3 linked regions of the Nothobranchius furzeri genome follow. The protein of the gene in region 1 binds, or shares a complex with, the protein of each later gene. Links are inferred from orthologs where the notes say so. Each region holds a gene or a part of one and is shown on either strand. Other genes may lie near its edges.

Evidence for each region.
Region 2: uri1 (region 1) and ruvbl2 share a complex: the UniProt entries of both Homo sapiens proteins name them as parts of the PAQosome complex. The link is inferred for Nothobranchius furzeri from reciprocal best matches to the Homo sapiens genes URI1 and RUVBL2.
Region 3: uri1 (region 1) and pfdn6 share a complex: the UniProt entries of both Homo sapiens proteins name them as parts of the PAQosome complex. The link is inferred for Nothobranchius furzeri from reciprocal best matches to the Homo sapiens genes URI1 and PFDN6.

The regions. Positions count from the first base shown.
Region 1 is NC_091744.1:78,617,933-78,621,073, reverse strand, and holds the end of uri1 (unconventional prefoldin RPB5 interactor 1), read left to right. Parts: intron 1-374; coding exon 375-466; intron 467-564; coding exon 565-628; intron 629-785; coding exon 786-972; intron 973-1,044; coding exon 1,045-1,276; intron 1,277-1,364; coding exon 1,365-1,516; intron 1,517-1,589; coding exon 1,590-1,830; intron 1,831-1,972; coding exon 1,973-2,161; 3' UTR 2,162-2,559; downstream 2,560-3,141. UniProt on the Homo sapiens protein: Involved in gene transcription regulation. Acts as a transcriptional repressor in concert with the corepressor UXT to regulate androgen receptor (AR) transcription.
Region 2 is NC_091750.1:65,677,902-65,681,655, reverse strand, and holds the start of ruvbl2 (ruvB-like 2), read right to left. Parts: upstream 2,388-3,754; 5' UTR 2,316-2,387; intron 1,606-2,315; coding exon 1,551-1,605; intron 1,431-1,550; coding exon 1,375-1,430; intron 1,046-1,374; coding exon 904-1,045; intron 799-903; coding exon 669-798; intron 584-668; coding exon 517-583; intron 384-516; coding exon 277-383; intron 187-276; coding exon 93-186; intron 15-92; coding exon 1-14. UniProt on the Homo sapiens protein: Possesses single-stranded DNA-stimulated ATPase and ATP-dependent DNA helicase (5' to 3') activity; hexamerization is thought to be critical for ATP hydrolysis and adjacent subunits in the ring-like structure contribute to the ATPase activity.
Region 3 is NC_091741.1:28,885,373-28,889,126, forward strand, and holds the start of pfdn6 (prefoldin subunit 6), read right to left. Parts: upstream 2,555-3,754; 5' UTR 2,433-2,554; coding exon 2,369-2,432; intron 2,247-2,368; coding exon 2,176-2,246; intron 2,098-2,175; coding exon 1,973-2,097; intron 1-1,972. Other genes in the region: mmgt1 (ER membrane protein complex subunit 5), read left to right, coding at 2,999-3,077, 3,338-3,390, 3,468-3,571. UniProt on the Homo sapiens protein: Binds specifically to cytosolic chaperonin (c-CPN) and transfers target proteins to it. Binds to nascent polypeptide chain and promotes folding in an environment in which there are many competing pathways for nonnative proteins.

The sequences.
Region 1 (3,141 bases):
ACAGCGGCTGAGTTGTCAGGCCTTCTGTGTTTGACCTTTCCTCACTTCCAGTTGATGCACTGACTGGAGGGGCTCCCGATCACCATGGAAACAAGGGCCCTCTGCTGCTATTAGTGAAAGGGCTTAATTGTTGTGAAGATTTAATGATCCGGAGTAGTATTCAGGGCAGAAGATATTATGAACTGTTTGTGCCATCATTTTTCTTCTTCTCCTCTCCTCCGTTTTCTCCAACATGTTTAGGATTTGAACTCTTCTGCAGCTTCCTGTCTCGACGCCGAATGTTTCGTTGACAGATTCGTGTTAGCCCGCTGCCTGTTTTTGCGACTGCCTGTGCAGAACGCTCGTTCTCATGATCATTTACTCGTTTTCTGCAGATGTGAGGAAGGAATTAGACGATCTGTCCAAGACGATGAAAATGTTCGCAGCAAAAGTTGGGTTTGCAAGCGACCTGGAAACCTTATCAGCTGTACGTTGCATTTGTGCACGCTGTCACACGTGAGATGTTGAGCAAGATGCAGGCGGTGACTTAATGCATTGACTGTTTTTGGTATTGTTTTGATTTAGAGTAAAGAAGCCTATGTCGACATCAGAGAGGAGGTCGGAAACAATGAGTCTGCTGTCACAAAAGGTATTATCGTCTTTCGTCTGACCTCATTTCACTAAAACGCAGCTTATGAGAAGGCAAAGCAAATATTTAACTCATTACTGGATTCTTTACAACAGTAGAGGGACTTTTCTTCATGTAATTGGTGATTTGGTTCATTTGATTCTGATTTCCTTTACAGGAAAGCAAAGGAAAGCCCACAAACCAAACTCCAAGCCCAAGAGCGACGTGGTGTTTGATCTGAAAGAGGAGGATGAGGAGGAGAGTGAAGATGGAGGGAGCAGAAAAGGCATCTTGACTGAGGAGGAGTTGTGGACTCGACTGGATGAACTAGAGAAGCTCGAGGAGCTTCAGGATGAGCAGGACAGGTGTGCGATCGCCGTCTTATCAGATTTATTCATTAGATTTGGTTGAATCTAAAGTGTCGCGTTTGTCTCCAGATTATGTGATTACGCAGACATGAACGGCGAGAATTCATCTTCCTCTTCCTCCGAGGAGGAGAAGGAGACGGATGTTGCTCCTCCGGTAAACGGGCCGAGTTTGAAGCCGAGCTGGAGAGCCGCACCTCCCAGCGGACAGCCGCTCTCCCAACGGAAAGAAGACGAGTACGATGAGGAAGAAGGCGACTGCTCGCCGACGATTTTTTTCTCCCACACAGTCGAACCCAAAAAGGTTGTTGTGTTAAAAGAGTCGTTCGGATTAGAAAGTAAACATTGCATGTTCCGCGTTCTTCATGCAGCGTCTTTGCTTGGTGCCTCAGGTGAGAATCAACACGGGCAAAAACACCATGTTGAAGTTCAGCGAGAGGAAAGAGCAGAAGGAACATTCGAAGAGAAAGAAGAAAAATGGCCAAAGTAATGGACACGCCCACCACGAACTCCACAAAATCACGACCCCGGCGGATATTTACAGGTAGAAGACCTGGAGGAACTCTGGTGTCGCTTTGGTGAAATTAAAGAGTTGCTTTCATTTTTTCTTCCTTCAGGTTGTTTGTGGATGTGAAGAACGGCGAGCTCGTTCCCAGAAAGTCCATCTTGAAGTCCCGCAGTCGAGAGAACAGCGTGTGCAGCGACACAAGCGAGAGCAGCGCCGCCGACTTCGAAGAGCGCAGGATGGTGGCGCGCAGCTTCAGTCACGATGACACGACGCACAGCGACACCAGCGACGGCATCACAGAGGAAGACAGTCCCACAGCCGTGCCGCTGCTCGCCTCCAGCCGCTTTGAAGTCAGTTTGTTTCTACTTGTGGTGTTTCTACAGATTCAGTGTTCAGATTATTTGTTCGGCTCTAAAAGCGACCGATGTCCGTCATTAAACATCAACCCCACAAAGGAAAATGATCCGGGTGTCCTCTTTATGTCTTCTCCAGGCGTTTTCAGGGACAGTGATAGAAAAGGACCCGATGCCTTTAGCTGTCCCCCACCTGACCATCGTCCCACCGGCTCTGCCAACCATACTGGAGAGGAAACAGGAGGAGGTGGTGCCCGACGTGGCCCCGCCTCAGCAGGCGCCTAAAAGGGTGTCCAAGTTCAAAGCTGCCAGGCTGCAGCAAAAGTGACTTTTGGCGGGAACATTTTTCTTATTCAAGCATTTTTCCCTCTTTATAAACTAATAAACACTTTTTACACTTTTCCCTCTAAATGAACAGGGTCCTTATTATTCATTAAAATGGAAACATGTCCATCCTACCTATCAACCTGTAGATGTTGATAATTAGAACTTTTTTGACCGGGTCAGAACTTGACCTGTTTTCCGCTCTGCTGCTGATCCCTGTTGTTTCCGGGTGAAGTGAGTCTGTACACATCAGACACCCTTTCTTTATGAAGCAGAACCAGTTGCTGAAGTGTGGTTTCGAACACTCTGACCTTCCTAATGAATGTATGTATTTTTCTGTGACGAGCTTTATGTAAAGAAAAATGATTAATCGAAACTAAAAATAAATGAATTTAACCACCATTTTTTCCTGTGCTTGTGATCACAGTAAATACTTTTGATTACTAGCTAAAGTATTTTTATGAGCCAGTTGTTTCTTGTGATTATATGGATAAAAACCATAAAAACTCAAAGTTTGGGGCAAAAAATAAACATTTTGAAAAGCAGAGGATGTAAGTAAGAGTCACAAATTCAGATTTAAAGGGGCATTATGGAAGTTTGACAGCCAAAACATGTATAGAAATAATAAATATCTTCTTCATACATTCTCCTGCAATGCCCTGGTCCTGTAGAATGAGCCCTGGCATTTTTACTGTGATTGCCTGTTTTTCTGTAAAATCACAGAAAAAGAGAGCTGCTCGGGTCGAGCAGGCTGCTTCACGCGCACTCAGGCATCGCCCGTAGCATTTGCTATCAGTAGCTTTAGTCTTTGTCGCTGTTCCTAACGCCTAGTGACAAAGCTAGCTACATTTCTGAAGAACTTTCTTCTAGATATTTCCTGCAAATTAGCAACAAAATAGCCATTTTCGCTCCAAATCGTTCTTTGAACGTTGTTTCAGCTGTTAGCAAGGATATAAATGTTACAGATACAAAAGATGTCACTGA
Region 2 (3,754 bases), on another chromosome or scaffold:
TGGACAAACTGGGTCTACAAAAGACAAAACAAAGAAAATAATCCAGCAATCAGTCAACCTGCATCCTCAATCTGAATACAGTGGCATCACACCTGAGCGCCCATGGCGTCGTAGTCTCGGGCTCTGGTGAAGGAGCGACCCAACTTGCTGATTTTCCCAGTGGCTTTATCAATTGTAATAACATCTCTGTAAAAACAGAGTAAATAGATTTGTTCTAACGTCGCTCCAGCAGAGAAAAACGAGACTAGAGAGTCTTGTTGTGCGAACAGAACCTACCCAGCTTGAACCTTCTCCTTACTGAGACTGTCAATCATCTTGTTGCCCAGGTCATAGATAGTCTCCATCTCTGTCGTCTTTAGAGTCAGCTTGCCTACTTTTGCACCCTGACGGAAAGAAAATATAATTTTTATTAAACAGGACTCTTCAAAGAGAATAACATCAATGTATTTAAGCTAACAGAAAGTGGGAGACAATAAATTCTGAGACTACTAGCTAACATTAGAGAAAGTATCCCACCGTTCCGGTGGCCGGTCTATCAATCTGGATTTCCACAACCTCTCCTTCAATAATCTCCGTCTCCTCTCTGTAAATACGGAAAAAACAGTCAAAGGCAAATCATTTCATACAAAAATAATTAAATAATGCTGTATCTGTGACCGCTGTCTCACTTGATCCTCACTCCAATGGCTTTTCTAAAAGCTTGGCTCAGTGCCTCGGTCTTGCTCATTTCCAGGGAGAAGATCTCGCTACCAGCCAGAGCTGTGAAGGGCGTGTCTGAGCCGAGAGACTGTGCGATGCCTATAAGACAAGCTCATCAGGAACAGGATGCAGGAACTCTTGATTCAAAACAAAATGCAACTTGAAACATTTACATCCATGGACAGCTTCCAACTCGGCTCTCACCCATTGCAATGGCAGTCTTTCCCGTGCCAGGTTGGCCAGCGATCAGGACCGCCCTGCCAGCAATGTGGCCGTCTTTGATCATCTCCAAGATGACCCCTGCTGCCCGACGGGAAGCCAGCTGTCCAACCATCCCCTGAGAAACCTGCAGGTGAAGAGGATCAAGTCTCCTTCAGACAAAACCTCACACACATTAATGCTGGAAAATTAACTAAACCTAAAAGAACAACACTGCTCAATATTCTAAAGTGTTGGTAGATAATATAAGAGAAAATGTCTGAAGTGATGTGATGTTGAGGTTACACAGGCTATCTACTGTATTTTCAGTTTAACCAGTTCTAGCAAAGTATATGCATTAGTAGTAACCAAACAACACATTTTACAAACAGCTTTTTTCTTTTAAAAGACTTAACAGAGTTTCTTTAGAGAGCATGAACAGGAAGTCCACAGCAAATGAATCAGAGACAAGAGTACCTGTCTTGGCTCCAAAGCATCATCCAGGCCAAGGCCCCGAATGTGAGAATGGGCCCCTGAACGCAAAAAGGTGGATTTGAAGGAAAAATAAAGAGCACACACAACTAGCAGCATCATACACCCTTATGATAAATTAGCTTTTTGATTAGTTAACGGTTCAAGACGTCCACACCTACCAATTCTTTCAATCCGTGTGATATCACGAACCTCTGGAACCTTTGTAGCCGCCATCTGCATCAGGTGAAACACAACAAGAAAAACTTGTAATATTAAGTAGATTGTTTTACGTTTCTGAATAATTAAGCAATGCAACTTCTACTGACCAGTTATTTGTCTGTATCTCACATTATGACTCAAAATAAGTCAAATTATTAAAAACAATAGTTAATGTGTAAACCTGATCATACTAAAACGGTAAAGATCAGATCCAAAACTTGATTTGGCAATGAGACACACCTTTTAGTAAATAATGTACCACAATAAAACGATATTTATGTTGTTTGCTAGATCAGAAAACGTCTGAGAGGTCTGTTCTGTCCAGCTGGTTGTCATAGTGACAGTTATAACCCATGCGCTACAATACATTAGCTAGCGTAATACAAAGTTTCGATCACTTTCCAAATATTAATGTCATACGTGAAAGCAAGAAAACTTTTAACTGCCACCACATTAGTTATGTAACATACCGAAACATGTGCGGCTACATTGCCAGCGTTAAAACAGGAATAGAATAGCATTCCGTGGCTAATGTTGTGTTAGCAAACAGCTAGCTTCATTCATCGCTTTATTTAAAGCTAACATTCAAAACAAGCAGAATGGGGACGTCAAACACTCCAACATCATAAGACTTTCTTCAAATTACACAGACAACAGCAATCGGGCAGCATAAACTGTAATATGTTTGAATTTTATATTATTTTATAATAAGCGTGTTCACTCACCTGCACCACTACACTCACCGAAACGTGAGAACGAGGCGCTCCTTTCTGAAAGTGCACCGAGCAAATGCGTCCGACTAGAAACAAGTAGTTTTTTTTTCACAGGGGCACATGGGGGAGCGTTGTTACCATCGGTTGTTACTGAATTGTTTTTGACCAAGAAGACAAAACTAACGAGGTAAATACGTTTCATTACACGATTCTTATAAAGGTACATAAAATGCTAATTCAAAATTTTATAAATGTTAACTCGTTCAATGAATGTTTGTAGAACTGGGTCCGTGCATTTCGTGTTTTCGTCATTTAAATGTTCTCATTGGAAACCAGTAGAAACAAAAGAATCGCTTTTTTCTTAAATTTCAAATACAAAATAATAAGCCATTGCTAAAAAAGGATGAGCACAACTATTAAAACATATTCTATTCACATTTGAAATAGCAAAAATATTTTTAGTTACAAATTTCCAAGTTGCTTTGAGTAAAAAGTCTTCTTACCAGTGAGGGGTCCTTTAAAATCTAAAACACTATAAAAAATTATAAAGAGGTAATCCAGGTAGAAGACATTTGTGTGCTGGTGCATTTAACAAGAATGAAAGCAAAAAATAAAAATAAAGGGACATTTTCTTGTGACTTTCTTTTTTATATACTTTCAAATGGAATTGTCCTGTTGTGAATTGATGACATGACAACAATTGCAATCTACTGAGCTTTCTCTTAAAATAATCTAAACAAATAAGCAATGAGAATAAGAATGCATCAAGCACAAAACACATTAAAATACTATAATTTTGAAAATAAGTCATTTTAAACCAAGGCATTTGGAACAAATACGTGAGGGACGTTATTTCTCAAATACACACGTACCATTCAAATTATCTTGTGACTATTATGTAAGTTTAAATGTAATAAGTTTTTTATTTCAAGTTTTGAAGGGTTAATCAGATATATTTTTGTTCTATATTAAAAAGAAACACATCCACATGGCATAGGAAGGCCAACATTGTCTGATGGAAAACGCCATAATAAAGCTCTAAAAGCTTTTCTCCACCAGAGGTAGCAAAGCTCATAATTTAAAGCTGTGGAATTTTTGTTCATGTGAACTTGCAGTGATCAATGCAAAGGAATATCAATCAAAATATCTGATAAGATAAGTTGGCTGGCACTCCATCCTTAAGTTTTCTTCTGACAAGTTAGATTTCGTGTTTTTATACCTTTAGAAATGCAAAAAAAAAGGGTGTAAAGCAAAGTGTGCTCAAATCTTTCTGGAGCAGGTTTTCATCTCCTTCCTGTCATTAGAATTCCCCCCTAAAAGTGCAGCTTTCGGGATTCCACACACTTTAAATTACATAACTGACATGATTGGCTAACTGGGTATATGTTTACTTGAAAGCTTGAAATCAGAAATACTTAAATGAGTCCCACCCATGTGATCACTGCAGTCTA
Region 3 (3,754 bases), on another chromosome or scaffold:
GTGTGCTCTTGTGAGAAAACCTGTCCTTTACAAAAAAGGGTCAGAAAAGCACTTTTTTAATTAATTTTCCAATACAAATGACTTTCATGGCCTAAATAATATAATGTGATGTAGATATCCACGGTAGTAACGGGTGATGACTCCTTTAAGGGTCATTCTAGCACATACTTACTCAAGAAAATGATTAAAAATATGAAAACTTTACATCGTATCCCTTTAAGGTACGTTTCAACATAAATGATTGTGTGTCCGAAACAGAATGCCTTGTAGGAAAATTATTTTTGTTGTTGATTCGATCCAGCCGTCACATTTTTCTGATTTTTCAAGCTCCACTCTCAAAGATGGAGGTTGAGGATTAGGAGGAGAGGAGGAATAACCAGGATAACTGAACCTGAACGGGAGGTGTTCCTGCTCCTGCTGAGCCAGTGTGAAGGCGGTGTGAGCGCCATGGCTTCTCCAAAGTTTAGCAGGTTTTTCATTTGTCTCATTGCTTTTGTATTTTTCAAATTTTTTTGTTTGTTTGTTTCCAGGTTTAAATATGCGATTGTCTCTGTGTCCAATACAATTAATCCTTCGTTCGGCTGACAGCTGGGATTAGTCAGCATATTTTAATATGTGACACATTGGGTGTCGAGTATCAAAATACATAATCCTCACAGTCAGAAATATGGAATTTGTGTTTTTTAATTTTAATTAACTCACAATCTCTGGAAATATGTAATGATGAGAATAACAAGCAAAATTAGTAAAACTATTATAATTCTGGATTCGATTGTTTTTTTTTGTATTTTCTGATTTTGTATTTGATTCATTTAATTCCAGCAGCAGGTATTTACTCAGATTTACTGAAACATTCCTCTCTGGTTCTAACTGGGAATGCCGGTTTTCCAGTCTAATTCTCCAGTAAAACAAACTGCTGGTCTTTGTGGATGAAGTTTTCCGTTCCTCTCCAACTTCATCTCTTCAGTGCTGCGTTTTGAGTGGAAAAGTGACACGCAAAAAATATGCTTCCGTCAGTGCACACTCAAGAGGTGAAACGTATCATCCTAACCACCGCCATGCTAGAACCCGGAATCGCTTAGTGAAGGATTCGGTTATGTCAAACACGCTAATTTAAGAAAGTCCCTTCATGTTCAACTAAAAATGAGACTTCCTGGTTAAATAAATGGTTTTAAAAGCGACTGTCAGCAGCTTCAACCCACAAGAAAATAAGGAACTATGGTGGATCCTGTTTAACTCACTCACTGCGCTGTTTTCTGATCAGAAATCCCCTGGCTGCCAGCGTTTTTGAGCGTTTTTACTGATTTTGAAGAGTCAGAACGTTGTGCTCTATGATCATGCAAACGCCAAAACTATCGAAAGAAAGAGTAGACTCACTTTTTACATCAGGAAGAATCACCGTGTTTCTAGCGTTAACCATTCTTTCACAATCTGTTGTCCAAGTGTGAGCTGCAGACGCTTTTCTGGTTAGCGCCTCGCTTTTTTCACAGCAGCGTCCCAAAACAATATCCCAATTCATGGATTTTCTCCTTCCTGATCAGGTGACGTGTGACACACGGACTAAGATCAGCTTTAGAGACGTCATGTTTACTCTCATGGTGCGGGGGCTCGATCCCACGCCCACCCCGTTAAAACAATGCAACTGACAGCTTTAGTTGTCAATTGCAGCGAGCCACTGGATTTAAAATGACGTCTTTAGCTGTCAATGGCAATAAATGATAAGGGCCAACTGTTTTTTTAATATTCGCATTAATTTGATGATCTCATCTCTGCGTCTGGCATTGCTCAGAATTACATTTTATGTTTGTTTCCATTAAGATTCCTGCCTGAGTCTGAGTAAAATCAGGGTTTAACCGGCTTCGTCCACCTGAAATTGTAAAAACAAGATCAAATCTAACCATCTTTCACCACTGTGACACAGACATTGGTGTGCAGGTGAGCTGTAGAACAGTAAAGCAGCAGCTTGACTTACACTTCCCCGTTGATGTACTCCAGTCTTTTAGCCACGGTGGCTTTGGCCTCATCCAGATCTTGTTTCACTAAAACAGGACCGATAAGTTTATAGATGGTGTTTGAGCTGTCGAGCAGATCCAGCTCCTGGAAACACAGGCGAGTCATGTCTGGATTATTACACACAAACCGTTGTGATATACAGCCATACAGGACTGAAGTTACCTCTTTAACAATGTTGTTCTCTGTCAGCTGCGTCTCCAGTTTCTGTCTGGCTGACATGTTCTTGCTAACATCTGAAAAAACACGCAGGTGGGTTAAAAAACTATTCTTATGGCCAAAAAGCTAACGTTACTTCATGCACACATAGCGGCTACATGCCCTCTAAAACTTGTGATAGCACATAAAGAAAACCCACCTTTCTGCATTTGTGCATACTTTTCTACTTCCGCTTTTAATTTCTTCTGAATGGCGTCTGCCATGTTTGCTTATTTTATCTTACACAACTGTAAAAGTTTAATTATTGTAACAGAGCGCTTAGCAAGGCAACATGAGAGAACAGCGCTAGCTAACAGGAAGAAGCTACGCAGAGACCGGATGTAGTGGAAGATTCAGGGCACACTCGGATATTCTGGTTTTAAATCGAGGTCAGAATAAAATTATGTGTATCTGGACTTATTTTGACGCAAACGCTCACTAAACCATGAAAAGCTCTTTCTAGTTATACATCTAATCTTCAATTTTCGATCAAATATATTGGTTGGAGATCAATGAGTTTGGTTAGAAACATGTAATTTAGGATGTGATTCGAATGCACCATTTGACGTCTGACAGCTTTCTTTGGGTATTTTCAGCTCACAAAAATCTAAATAGAGGGCAAAAACACATAAATAAAATGATTTTACAGATATCAGGCTGCGAATAATAATATTTAACGAACATAAATAATCATTTGGCAGGTAGGTTTTGGTTTTGACGCAGTGACAGTTGCGTCAGTTTACGACTGTTTTACGACGGTGCCCACAGTCCCTCTGAGCCCTGCTTCGAGATGGCTTCTTCGTTTTGGAAAGGTGTTGTCGGCATCGGACTCTTTGCCTTGGCCCACGCAGCGTTCTCGGCAGCACAGCGTGAGTTTCAGCGCCAAGATGTTAGACCGATGTTTTCCTGTGTTGGTTAGTTCTGGTTGGACTGAGTCTCCACCGAGTGAAGGACCGCGGGGCCTGTGGCCACAGCAGCTTAGCTAGCTCCGCTAGAGCCTCCAACGGAGGAAGACTTTAATCTGTACCTGCTCGCTTCTGTGTGACTGCCGTCGTTTAATGTTTGGATTAAGAGTATTCTGTGAGTTATTGTCGATATTACTCTGATTAAATCCCAACTCTCCCATCAGATCGGTCATACATGCGGCTCACAGAGAAGGAGCACGAAACGCTGCCTATCGACGTGAGTAACCCATCTCTGGTCTTCAGAGAGAGCCCTGCTTTTTATTTGTCTTCACCGTCGTCTTGCTCCCACCACAGATCGTTCTGCAGACATTATTATCGTTTGTGATGACCTGCTACGGGATCGTTCACATCGCTGGAGAGTTCAAGGACATGGACGCGTCCTCGGAGCTGAAAAACAAGTGAGTAGATTCCCTTTACAGCCTCCGGTACCGGATCTGTTTGTGACCCGGTTCGATTTCAGCTCTGTGGAACATCCCTCCACAGGGACACTCTCAACTCCCATAAGGCAGTTCGGCAGATACACTAGTTAGGGATGGACAACCACCAGAGCTCTGTTCGACGAGACTAACATCTCTCGGTTC